Linked DNA regions of Schizosaccharomyces pombe. Changing the gene in region 1 together with any one later gene gives a genetic interaction. Each region holds a gene or a part of one and is shown in the gene's direction. Other genes may lie near its edges.

The links. Genes that interact genetically often act in the same process or in processes that back each other up.
Region 2: of psl1 (region 1) and pph3, a mutation in one rescues a mutant of the other (synthetic rescue), as found in Schizosaccharomyces pombe (one study listed by BioGRID).
Region 3: of psl1 (region 1) and clg1, changing one suppresses a phenotype caused by changing the other (phenotypic suppression), as found in Schizosaccharomyces pombe (one study listed by BioGRID).

What each region holds. Positions count from the first base shown.
Region 1 is NC_003423.3:3,301,387-3,304,565, forward strand, and holds psl1 (pho85 family cyclin), read left to right. Parts: upstream 1-1,895; 5' UTR 1,896-1,919; coding exon 1,920-2,651; downstream 2,652-3,179. Other genes in the region: U6 snRNP-associated protein Lsm5, read left to right, coding at 44-167, 214-280, 329-355. UniProt on the Schizosaccharomyces pombe protein: Cyclin partner of the cyclin-dependent kinase (CDK) pef1 (PHO85 homolog).
Region 2 is NC_003423.3:3,954,041-3,958,013, reverse strand, and holds pph3 (serine/threonine protein phosphatase), read left to right. Parts: upstream 1-1,927; 5' UTR 1,928-2,084; coding exon 2,085-2,154; exon of another isoform or gene 2,155-2,269; coding exon 2,270-2,724; exon of another isoform or gene 2,725-2,758; intron 2,759-2,777; coding exon 2,778-3,299; 3' UTR 3,300-3,462; downstream 3,463-3,973. Other genes in the region: CIA machinery monothiol glutaredoxin Grx4, read right to left, coding at 1-510.
Region 3 is NC_003423.3:1,745,266-1,749,775, reverse strand, and holds clg1 (cyclin Clg1), read left to right. Parts: upstream 1-1,959; 5' UTR 1,960-2,349; coding exon 2,350-3,735; 3' UTR 3,736-3,999; downstream 4,000-4,510.

The sequences.
Region 1 (3,179 bases):
ATTGATTTATGCCCTGGGTAAATCTGTTCATGCTAACAAGCAGAATTAATTGATAAATGCATTGGATCAAACTTATGGGTGATCATGAAAAGTGAACGCGAATTTGCGGGGACACTTGTTGGATTCGATGATTATGTGAATATTGTTCTAAAAGATGTTACAGAATAGTATGAAATATAATAACTTTAATTATCTTTGCTAATTTCTATGAAGTGATACTGTTACCGGCGTTACCGAAAAACACTCTGAAATGCTTTTGAACGGAAATGGGATGTGCATGGTATGTCAATGAAAATAATAAAGGAATTTTTGTACACTAACTATCTAGTTGATTCCTGGTGGAAAACCCGAATAAGTTGGTACTTGGCTATTTAACAGTCTTTTGAAGATGAAGGAAGAGTGATTTTTGTTATTATCAAACAAATGGAGATATATTGCACGCCAAATCTAGCTCATACTGTGTGCACTCCATATATGGTAAAATATCTAGACCCAAGTCTCACTTTTTACATTAATTGAACAACAAGCGTTGGTAAAGCCATGTCTTCGGATACGGTTAAATTTGATCGAGTTATTTAAAGAATTTGATTGCAAAAATAAGGTATTTTATAGGACTGGTTGCATGTTTCTGAAATGAGTGATTATTCAAAAATAAAGGCTTAATACTTCCATCCTCCATAATTTTTCCTATTAGTGATTGTATCTCAAATTATACTACCAAAATGAATTGTTATTTCAGATGATGTAAACTGTGTTAAAGTTAATTGTTTGAATGTAATCTGACTGTAGAAATTGGCATAAACGGGATATGCATAGCCTACGATGATAGCAATTTTTCTTCTAATTTGAAAGACAACATACTAAACATTGATTTGAGTAGCCTTTACAGGATCTTACTATTCAAGTTATCTCTTCCAGCCCATCTGGTTGAATCATACTGACTTTTTTTTGTTCATGTTGGCCAAAATGGGGATTTATTATGATTATACACTGGAAAAAGTATGAATATTTGTTGTTTATCATTAATATAAACTAAAGTGACTAACCTTGTTATTGTAAACTCAAAATTTTGAGAATTAGTATCTTCAGCAGTTTTATGAAGGAAACGAAAAAGTAAAATTAAAATGAAAACGAAGTTTAATACTTTGGATTTATATATCTCATCATTTATACATTTGGATTATTAAGAAATTTTTGAATCCTCTCTTCCCTTATCCCTAAATAGTTAGAGAAAAACGACAAAACTCAGCTAAAACCATTAAACTTTTTCGTTTTAAATTCCAATCTCGTTGCTTTTAGGACTTGACTTTTTACATAGATGAAAATCACTATCGTAATGCTTTTGCTTTTTTTCTTTGATTTCTTTTTTTTGGCAGATTACAGCCGTCTTTCAATATAAACGCTATATTACTACAGTCTTTGTAAATATTATCTACTTGGTGCGCAGGCCAACCCGATTATATACTTTGATTTAAATCCCATTTAGCCTTAGAATTTTCGTAACAATAGCTCTGGACTCCTAGTAAAACTGTATTGCTTCCTGTATATTTGAATCATAACTCTTTTTTTTAAAAATTAATCGATTTTGAATCAACTAAACTGATTCTTGCGAATAATACGGATTTTAAATTGAGATATAAAAAGTTAATTTATTAATCCTTTTACATTCATCTATCTACTTGAATCAAGAAAAAGTACTATGAAGAAACGCTCGTGATTTAATCTGCAATGTTTACAGTCGAGTTTGTTACATTTCACTAGTGCTTCATAAAAAATTAGCGATCTAAATAAGTGCACGCAACGTTGTATTCCGGTTGACAAGAACACGCAAGATTTCGCAATAACTTAAAGTCTAGGATTGGCGTCACAGACAGTAAAGACGTATTCGTCCATTTACCAAACATTTTTATAATAGTCCTATGTCCTTGGCGTTTACGCTTTTAACCTCAAAAGATAACACAGATGAAGATGAAGAACACTTGGAGCTTTCTTCTTTTAATCAAGAAAAGCTCTTGGAAATGATATCTGTGTTTCTCTCGCGTCTAACGCGTTTGAACGATAGCAAGCAGGAAGCTACTGAATCAGATCAAATACCATTATCTCCAACAAGTTTAAAGAACCCTTGTTTGATATTTTCTGCAAAAAATGTGCCTTCCATATCTATTCAGGCTTATCTAACACGAATCTTAAAGTACTGTCCTGCAACTAACGATGTATTTTTAAGTGTTTTGATTTACCTTGACAGAATTGTTCATCATTTTCATTTCACTGTCTTTATCAACAGCTTTAATATTCATCGTTTCTTAATCGCTGGGTTTACGGCCGCAAGCAAATTTTTCAGCGATGTCTTCTATACTAACAGTCGCTATGCAAAAGTTGGTGGTATTCCCTTGCACGAATTAAATCATCTGGAGTTATCTTTTTTTGTGTTTAATGATTTCAATCTTTTTATATCTTTGGAGGACCTTCAAGCATACGGTGATCTTCTACTTTCATGGTATCGGCAAAATGGGCAGAATTACAACCCTACCGATGTTTCATGCTCTATTGAATCTCCCATTTCCCATACTCCGCAACAAAATCAACAAGATGAACAGCCACGTCGGCCCATAATGGATCGAAGGTTACTCTCTTCTCACTCAATTGGTTAAATTTACTACTGTGTTTGGTCCTCCAAATTTTTTTTTGCTTCCATCTATTTATCTTTATTTTCTGTTGAAAATATTTAATCTGATTATTTAAAACTTGGAAAAGTTACCTTGGTGCCTTTTGTCTGTATATATATATATTTCATTCTGCTGTGTCAATGTGGATACGACTAGTTTCTGAATTTTCAAGTGGCCTTTAAATTTTGTACTTGTATATGCTATTTCTCCTTTGTCTCTTATTTAATGTTTTTATCTCAAAACATGCCGTTTCATGAAATTCTCATTTATTACATTCGGATTATCTGACTTGCAATAAGGTTTTTGGAATTTGGAAATTGCATGCTACTTTTGTATTCGGTATTCTACTTTACGATGCTTACAACGCTTACGGTATATTGTGCTTTGGTTCCTTGTTTAAGTTAAGGCTGTTGTAAAGGTCCGCTATGATCAAAGTCCTTAGCTTACTCCGCTATCCCTGTTCCATTTGTTCCTTTCTCTTCACGTTGCAATTTGTTTATTTCTGCCGCCTAC
Region 2 (3,973 bases), 650 kb from region 1:
AGGTTCTGAAGGAGTACCCTTTAAAAAGAGCATAACATTGTGAGCATTTGTTAGCGTGCTCAACCTTTCATTTAGTTCAGAATCCAACCCATTTGGAGCTTTAGAGGTATTGGAAGTAGTGTTGGTAGTCTGAACGGAATTTACTTGAGTTTCCACGGACGCGTTGGTAGAGGATATTTGGGAGATAAGGGGTTGAATATACTCGTCAATAGCAGCCTTCAATTTTTGAGGATTTGCCCCCGAAATTCTAGCCAAAACTTTTGCTCCGTGGATTAAAACAAATAGAGGAACAGCGTTTACATCAAACGACTCTGCTATATCGGAAAATTTTTCAGCTTCAATTTTTAAGAAAACGGCATTTTTCGTGTCCTTTGCAAATTGATCAAAGACTTGGTTCATTTGCTTGCATGGAGCAGCCCATGGTGCATAAAAATTGAGTAAAATTATTTGCTCTTTTCCATTTTGCAATATCTCTTGAAATTGTTCAACAAAAGTAATTTCGACGCTCATTTCCAATCAAAATAGCACAGCTTGAGGAATTATTTCTTTTCCTACTTTTTTTTTCAAAAACCTAGTTTATTCTTTTTAATCAACAATCAACGCCCTATTTTTTCCTAGTTGGTTGTCGGCAGGTTCGGCTGAGCAGTGTAGAAAACGTATCTAGTAAAATCTCTTCCTTGCACAATAGGCGACGCAAATGATATAATTGCAGCAAAAAACATATCCAAGTAAATTACTCGAAATTTTTTAGTTAAACCACTTTTGATGTACGTTTTGATGATTCTTCTTCACTTTTTTCATTGTCTATTCATTAAACGGCATTCTCGATCTCATTTTTTTAATTACCATCGTGACTGATCAGATAACTTTATCCCTCGGTATTAAAACGTCTGGAAAATAATTTTTTCGGCAAAAAAAACTAGTGTGTTGCGCTTATACTCCGATTCTACGTAATACCCAAACAATTCTGTTAACATTTTATTTTTGTATGTTGTACATAAAATTAACAGTCGCTTTACTAGCCAAATGAGTTTATAACAAGCGACCAAAACAACCAAGATGAGATATGTTTCATACTTGATAAAAACAACAGCATACACATTGATTGATATAGTTAAAGTATTAAAAAATTGCATTGTACTGCTCAGGGCAAGCATTTCTTACACACCTCATTCTTTTGATAGTACGCAAATTGCAGTAAACCATATTGAAAGATAGAAAGAATATATTTCTAAAATCTTTTTAGTTATTTGAACATCTTGAGTTGCCGACTGAACATAAGTAAAGAATAGTATGCAAATTATGTTAAAGCTTCACATAAATTATGGGTTTGCAACACGAATTGACTATACAGTTTTTCTATATTGAGTGTATATTCCGCCACAGGGGTACGCCTTCAGCATACAGATTATTTTACCTATAATTGTGAGTGTTATCTGATTTTTACCAAGAAGCTATAGTGTTATGTAGTTTATTTCACAAAAACCCTATAACATCAAAGCTGCGCATTTGTGCGAACAATTTAGATCCGTTAGAACTATAGGAGTTTTTCTTATAATCTAGATATATATATGAGTAGGTGCACGTTCTTGTATTAGCGTTATAAAAACTCAAGATCAATGATAATACGGCATGCTATAATAATCATACTGGAGTAGCATGCAACTTAATTAAAAGATTCTAGTTCATCATTAATTTTAAGTATAAATGATTAAAAAAAAACAATCTAATACAAAAACTTGTGTCCATTTCATTTCGAGATGAAAGCACTAATAATGGTGGAGCAACCGTATTTTTCTGAAAAACAATCTAGCGTAACGCAACGTATGTGTCAATAAAATTCGGAAGCTGCTAATTAAGGAGGTCATGTTAATTATTTTAAAAGTCATTATCAAAAGGAAAACCGAATTTTAGTCACCAAAGCTCTACGCGTCATACCTCTTGACAGAGGTATTTTGACTTATTTAAAATTAAATTTCTTAAATGATACATAAAGTTGAAAAAGAATTTCACTTGTTTATTTTCTTATTCTAAAGGACCAAGTTATTCTAGTTTTCTTTACTTTATGTTTTGACGAGTTCAAAATGACTGATTTAGATTTGGATTGGCAACTTGAGGAACTGGAGAACGGAAGGTTAATTCCAGAATCAAATGGTATGTATAATAGTATTTATAGAATAACTTTTATCTCCGTCGATATAACAACGATCATTCATATTGGTTGTTCTTTGCCATAATTATAAGAATGGGGTCTAACGTTTTGTGGTAGTTGTTGAACTTTGTCAGCGTGTAAGAGATATTTTAATTGAGGAATCTAACATACAATGGATCTCATCTCCTGTAACCATTTGTGGTGATATCCATGGCCAATTGCATGATTTACTGGAGCTTTTTCGAATTGGTGGGTCATGTCCAGGTACAAAATATTTATTTCTAGGGGATTTTGTTGATAGAGGGTTTTACTCTGTAGAAACATTTCTCCTGTTATTGACTTTAAAATGTAAATATCCGAAAGAGATGACCCTTATCCGGGGAAATCATGAATCACGACAAATAACACAAGTTTATGGATTTTATGACGAATGTGTAAGGAAATATGGTTCTGCCAATGTATGGCGATATTGTTGTGAAATATTTGATTATCTTTCGCTTGGTGCTTTGGTGGATGGAAAGGTTTTTTGTGTGCACGGTGGACTTTCACCAAGCATCAGCAGTATCGATCAGGTATGTTATTAATTCCGAAAATTTGAACTAAACTTTTAACGCTTTTTATGAAGATTCGACTGTTGGATCGAAAACAAGAAGTTCCGCATGAAGGAGCAATGTGTGATCTACTTTGGTCAGATCCAGAAGATATTAGTGGATGGGGTTTATCTCCCAGAGGTGCTGGATTTTTGTTTGGTGCCGACGTTTCTGAAGTTTTTAATCGCGCTAATGACCTTTCATTCATTGCTCGTGCTCATCAATTGGTTATGGAGGGTTACAAAATCCATTTTTCCGATAAAGATAAACAGTATCCCAAATTTACAAATGAAGAGGACTCTGAGCTGGATTCAGATTCTGCCTCACCTGTTGATGATTCTCCGGCACCTGGAGACATAATAACCATTCCAGAAAAGGATAAAGGAAGCGTGGTTACTGTTTGGAGTGCACCCAATTACTGTTACAGATGTGGAAATGTTGCTTCTATATTACAACTTGATGAAAACCAAACGCAATCCTTTAAGATTTTTGGTACTGCCTCTCAAGAAAGATCTGGCATTCCAACAAAACGACCCATTGCCGACTACTTTTTATGATTATTCAAAATTCATTGCTCTACTTCACTTCCCCAATATCATGTATATAGGTCAACTTGTACTAAAGATTATCCCCTTAACTCTTCTTATTGGTCTCTCATTTTTAATTCTGCACTTATTTAATTCTTGTTTATGGAATTTGGTTATTTTAGCAATATTGATTTGTTTAGGACATCATAAATTTAAAAAGTAATTAAGTTAAATTTTAATTGTAACTTTTTTAAGCTAACTTTCAACGCACAAGATTGTTTAGTCGCTTTCTGAAGGTAATTTAAAGTAGATTGCAAAATGCTCGGTTTTCAAACATTAATCCTCATTTGATCGAACTTCAAACCTGAATTCAGAAACTGGGGTGATGAATATCATTTTTTAAGCTTAATGCTGAAAATTTAATATTACATTATTGAGTCAGCTGGTTTGAGTCTTTGTAGTTTAGACTGCACCCCAATTCAACAAATCCGTTAGCCAAAAAATGAAATAAACAATTGGAATTCAGCCTCTGTTTCAATCACTGAATTGTAATCTAATATCATATATTGAAGTCAATAGAATAAAGTCAATGATATACGAGGTATAAACGTAAGAACACCTACATCTTAAACATTCGATATGATAGAAACATTTTTTTCAAATAAATTCTAAGTAATACAGTATCACAAAAAAAAAAAAAAAAA
Region 3 (4,510 bases), 1.6 Mb from region 1:
GGTGATTTTCTTTTTCCAATAGATTCATTAACAATTTCTAACATAGTACCGTAAACGACCTTTTCAAGAATCGCTCTGCACCTCCTTCTTTCAATAGATCAATGTAAAATAAAACAAACATAACCTATGATAATTTCCTCTCCCTTTTCTTATTAGCGATCTTCCTTTCTCCACCGTATTCTCCAATAAATGAAATGATTTTCAAACAGCAGGAACCAATCTTTTGCTACAGATGTTTACCTAGAACTAGTAAGACAAGACAATCCACGTAGTCTCATATCGACTCCTTCTATTTCACTATCGTATTCACCGTTTCATTCAACCACTCTCTTCCAAATCTTTAACGATCACTCCCTGCATTCCCTTCCTTCTTCCTTCCTCCTCCTTTCACCCCACTATTCCCCTCAACCACTCCACTCTTCCTCGCTCTTTTTTCTTATTCTCTCTCTCTCTCTTTCATTATCCCATTTAACGATTTCCTCCATTTCCCTCCTTCCACTCTCCACTCAACAAGGTTTGTCTCCCTCTCATGTGCTCCGTTAATGCTCATTCTGGCTCCGACGGCTTTTTGCCTATATACATCAACAAACTTTGCTTGCGTTTTCTCCTTCCTTCCTCCCCATTTCCTCTCTTCCTTTTATTTTTTAATTTCACGCGTTTTCTTCTCTACACTCTTAATTGTTCTTTTGCGCGCCCTTGATTTCGCGCCTTCTTCTTTTCTAGCATCGTTTGTTTTTGTTTTGGCTTTGCTTTGTTATTTTGTTTCCCTTTCCTTTTACTGTGCCTTCACTCTCCTCTTTTAATTTCGTTTTCTCTCTCTCATTTTCCTGAGTATTCATGCTGTCATTGGTTTCCTAATTTTTCATTGGTTTGTTTGTTTACGTTTTCTTCTTTCGCTGCTACAATTGTATTTATGCGCGCATCTTTTTATTTATTTACTCAAGTACATATAGTTATATATATATATATATATATAAAGCATCTGCCTTGCTTTCTTTCTACGGCTTCCCCCCCAACTGCCAATACACTCTTCACTCAGTGCTTTGGTTAGCCCTTATTCAAAAAAGTTTGCGTACTGTATACTGTCTTGAGACTTGAACAACTTTTTTTTTTTTTTTTTTTTTTTTTTCAGCTTACATTTTGTAGTCTGTTTTTCTTTTTCTTTTACTTTTTAATCCTTTTTTTTTTCTTTTTCTCTCTCTCTCTCTCTCTCTGTTTTTTCATTCATCTAATCGCTCATCCCTACTTATCCTTTTATAATTACAAACCCGATTTCTTTACTCGCTCTTCATCTCCCCTTTTTTTTCAGTTTTTGTTGTTTACTGTTATTTTTTACTTTTTTTTTCGTTTCACTCCAAATTGTCTCGAAAAGCTAATTGTTGAATTTTTTTTTCTCAACTTGCTGAAGTAAACATTACCTCCCTTTTTAATCTTTGATTTCTATTTATACATCTTTTCTTATACGACAAAGACATCCACCAGTTGATTTTCTCTTGTCTCTTTAATTTCTTTTTTCCGTCTACTTTTCGTCTATCATACTCAGTTCTTGTTTATTCTCTCCTCTTTAATTGCTCCTTCCATTTCATTTCACTTTCTACTCGATTTTTACTTCTCAAGTTGTTTCTTTATTTAGATAACTTTCAAATTCTCCTCTTTACATACTTATTGTTTGTCTTGCTACGTTTAACTTATTTTTCTTTGATTTTTTTCCTGCTTGTCCCATTGTTTGTTTACCTCGCTCCCAATTTTCCTCACCGGCAATTGCTAATTAAAATCCATAAAGTTATCTAACCGATCTATTACGTTAGATATCTTAATTTGGGTTTAACTTTCTTGCTGAATAATCTTCAACGCTACGCTATTTTTCAGTGCTTAACAAAGTGAAATTTTTTATTCCTAAAAAATTCTCTTTCCTAAGTTGCAAGCATTTTCAACTGCGTTACCAGCTTTTCAGAACCTGCGCACAACCAACCACCGTAAAATTTAGTTTGGAGGGTTCAATCCTATTTTTTTCCTTCTATATTAGCAGTTTTTTTGCAGAAGTCGAGCTTTTTACTAAGCCTCGTCTATTTGCCAGCGAAACAAGCATTCCTTGGTCGGGTTTTGCTAGAAGTGAGTGTTAATAAGTCTTTTTCCTGTCTCTTGGGTAAATTTCTTATTGTTGAGCATTCTTTATCTCTTTTTCATTTTTTTTTATCGTTCTTCCTTTGTATTCTTCTTTCCTTGAAAGGAGTACTCAAGAAATCGATTACAAAACTCGAAAAAGACTTGATTAGGTAGAATAGCAAAGGAGTTAAAAATTTTTTTTTTAATTCTTCAATTTGCTTTCCTTTTCGAAATTCTTCAGCAATGTCGTTTCCTTATCAGCACACTTCACGTTCTCAAGTTCAGCCTCCTTTGGCTGCCCCCGGCTTGAGTATGTTTGCTCCTGTTTCGTCCAGCAATAGTGCAAACTCTGCTTCTTCGGTTGCTGCTTTGTTGAGTCATGCTCCTATGTATGGTCTTGGCCAGCGTCGTCCGTCCTTCTTACCTGGCGTTTCTGTGCCCGATACGCTTTCGGTAAGGTCGGGCTTCTCCATCCCTTCCTCCTCTCATCATCCTTCCGCTGTTCCTTCCCTTCTGTCGCAGCACCGTTTACAGCAACCTCAACCACGTCTCTACCCTTCTGCGCCTCTAAACTATTACTGGCCATCTTATCAGTCGGTTCCATCTGCCGCACCTCCACCACCCTCCCAGCAACGCTATATGCCTGACTCTGCCGTTGCCTATAATCCTAACCAAGATCAATTTGGCAATTCGGTGAATGTATCAGCTGCATGTAACAACGTTTCCGCCCCTTTGATTGCTAACAATTGTGCTCCTTCCTTTTATCAGTCTCGACATCCCGTAGCAGATGTGCCTGTAACCAACAATACCGCCACTACTACCTCCGAGACTGATAATACAATCCCAGGTAATCTTAACATGCCTTCGGTTGCTAACGTTCAACAACGTATTTCTCCTGTCTGCAAAACTAACATGGAGGATCAGGAAGAAACCGTTTATACCGGAGGTGTTGCTGCTAAACTGGATTACAAGATGGATCAAATGGTGGAATACTTGTCTATCATGACTTGTAAGTTGTATGCTCGTTTCCTGAATAATGCTCAAATGCATTCTCTTGCTAACTCTTTACCTGGTCTTGTGTTTTCTTTCCGTAAGGTCGTTACACAAATTTTGACGTCTACGCGTTTACCTCGTGCCTCTTGCTTGCTTGCCTTGTCATACCTTTCCGATCGTCTTGACGCCGCATCTCAAACGACTGATTTTGTAAACCAGTGGACTAAGGAGTCGTTATTCTTCCAAATATGTGCTCTTTTAACGACCGCCTTGATTTTGGCTAATAAGTTTTTGGATGACAATACGTTTACCAATCAATCCTGGTCGCAAGTTACTGGTTTCCGTACTGCCTTGTTGAACAGCTTTGAACAAGACTGGCTAGCTAGCATGTCCTGGAATCTTAGTCCCGGTCCTCGTGGTCAAAAGGCATGGGAGTGGTGGAGTGCTTCTTATTCTTTGTTTACTTCCTCAAACGCTACATACTCTGGTGAACAAAAAACTTATAGCCCTACTACGTTGAGCACCAACGCACCACCATCGCCCTCTTCTGGACGTTCTTGCTCTAATTGCAACTACTATTATCCCTATACACCCGTGGGATATTATCCAGTGTACAATCGCTATGCAATGACTTAGTGATCGTGCTTACTTTCTGCGGGTGTTGTTGCTTGACGGGGTTTGTTTTTCGTTTCCTTGCGCTTATAAACACTTTACGTGTTTTTGTTATTCTTGTAACTTTTTTCTCTTTTCATATTGTATGACGGGAACTTTTGTTTAACCCGTCATATTGTATTCTCTAATCATCTCCGTGATGAATTCGGCTCTCTTGAAATTAATTTGCCGTTTGATCTTGCTTTTCTACTTTCTTATTTTTTCAAATTTTAACAGAGAAAAAAAAAATTTCCCAAAAAAAATTGAAAAGTAGTATACCGAAAAAAAGGAACCAACTTCTTATCAGTATCTGTTTTATTTTTGTCGTTGGACTTTTATTTTGCTTTCTCGTGTGGCTTTGTTATCTATTGGAATATCTTTTGATGCAATTCTGATTTGTTAATACTGCTTGATGTATATACATCCGCTACTACTATAGGGATCGCGGATTTCCTTTTTAAAGTTCGCCTTCAAAAATTAGTAGTCTACTTATACAACTAGCTTCATCAAGAAATACATTGTGAATAGATGAAAAGGCCCATGGATGCTTTGAGTTTATTTTTCTGTTTCATTAGCAAAGATTTTACTTCGGGCATCGTTTTTGTCCTTATTTTGTTTATTTTTTCTCCTTTTGATACTTAAATGAGAAACCTTTGCTTGCTGTTTTCTAAGGATTAAGCATAAAATTTTTTATTGCGATTTTCCAACTCCCAAACTGTTTGTTATGATTACCTAGTTTTATTGCGCATTCGTCGTATGT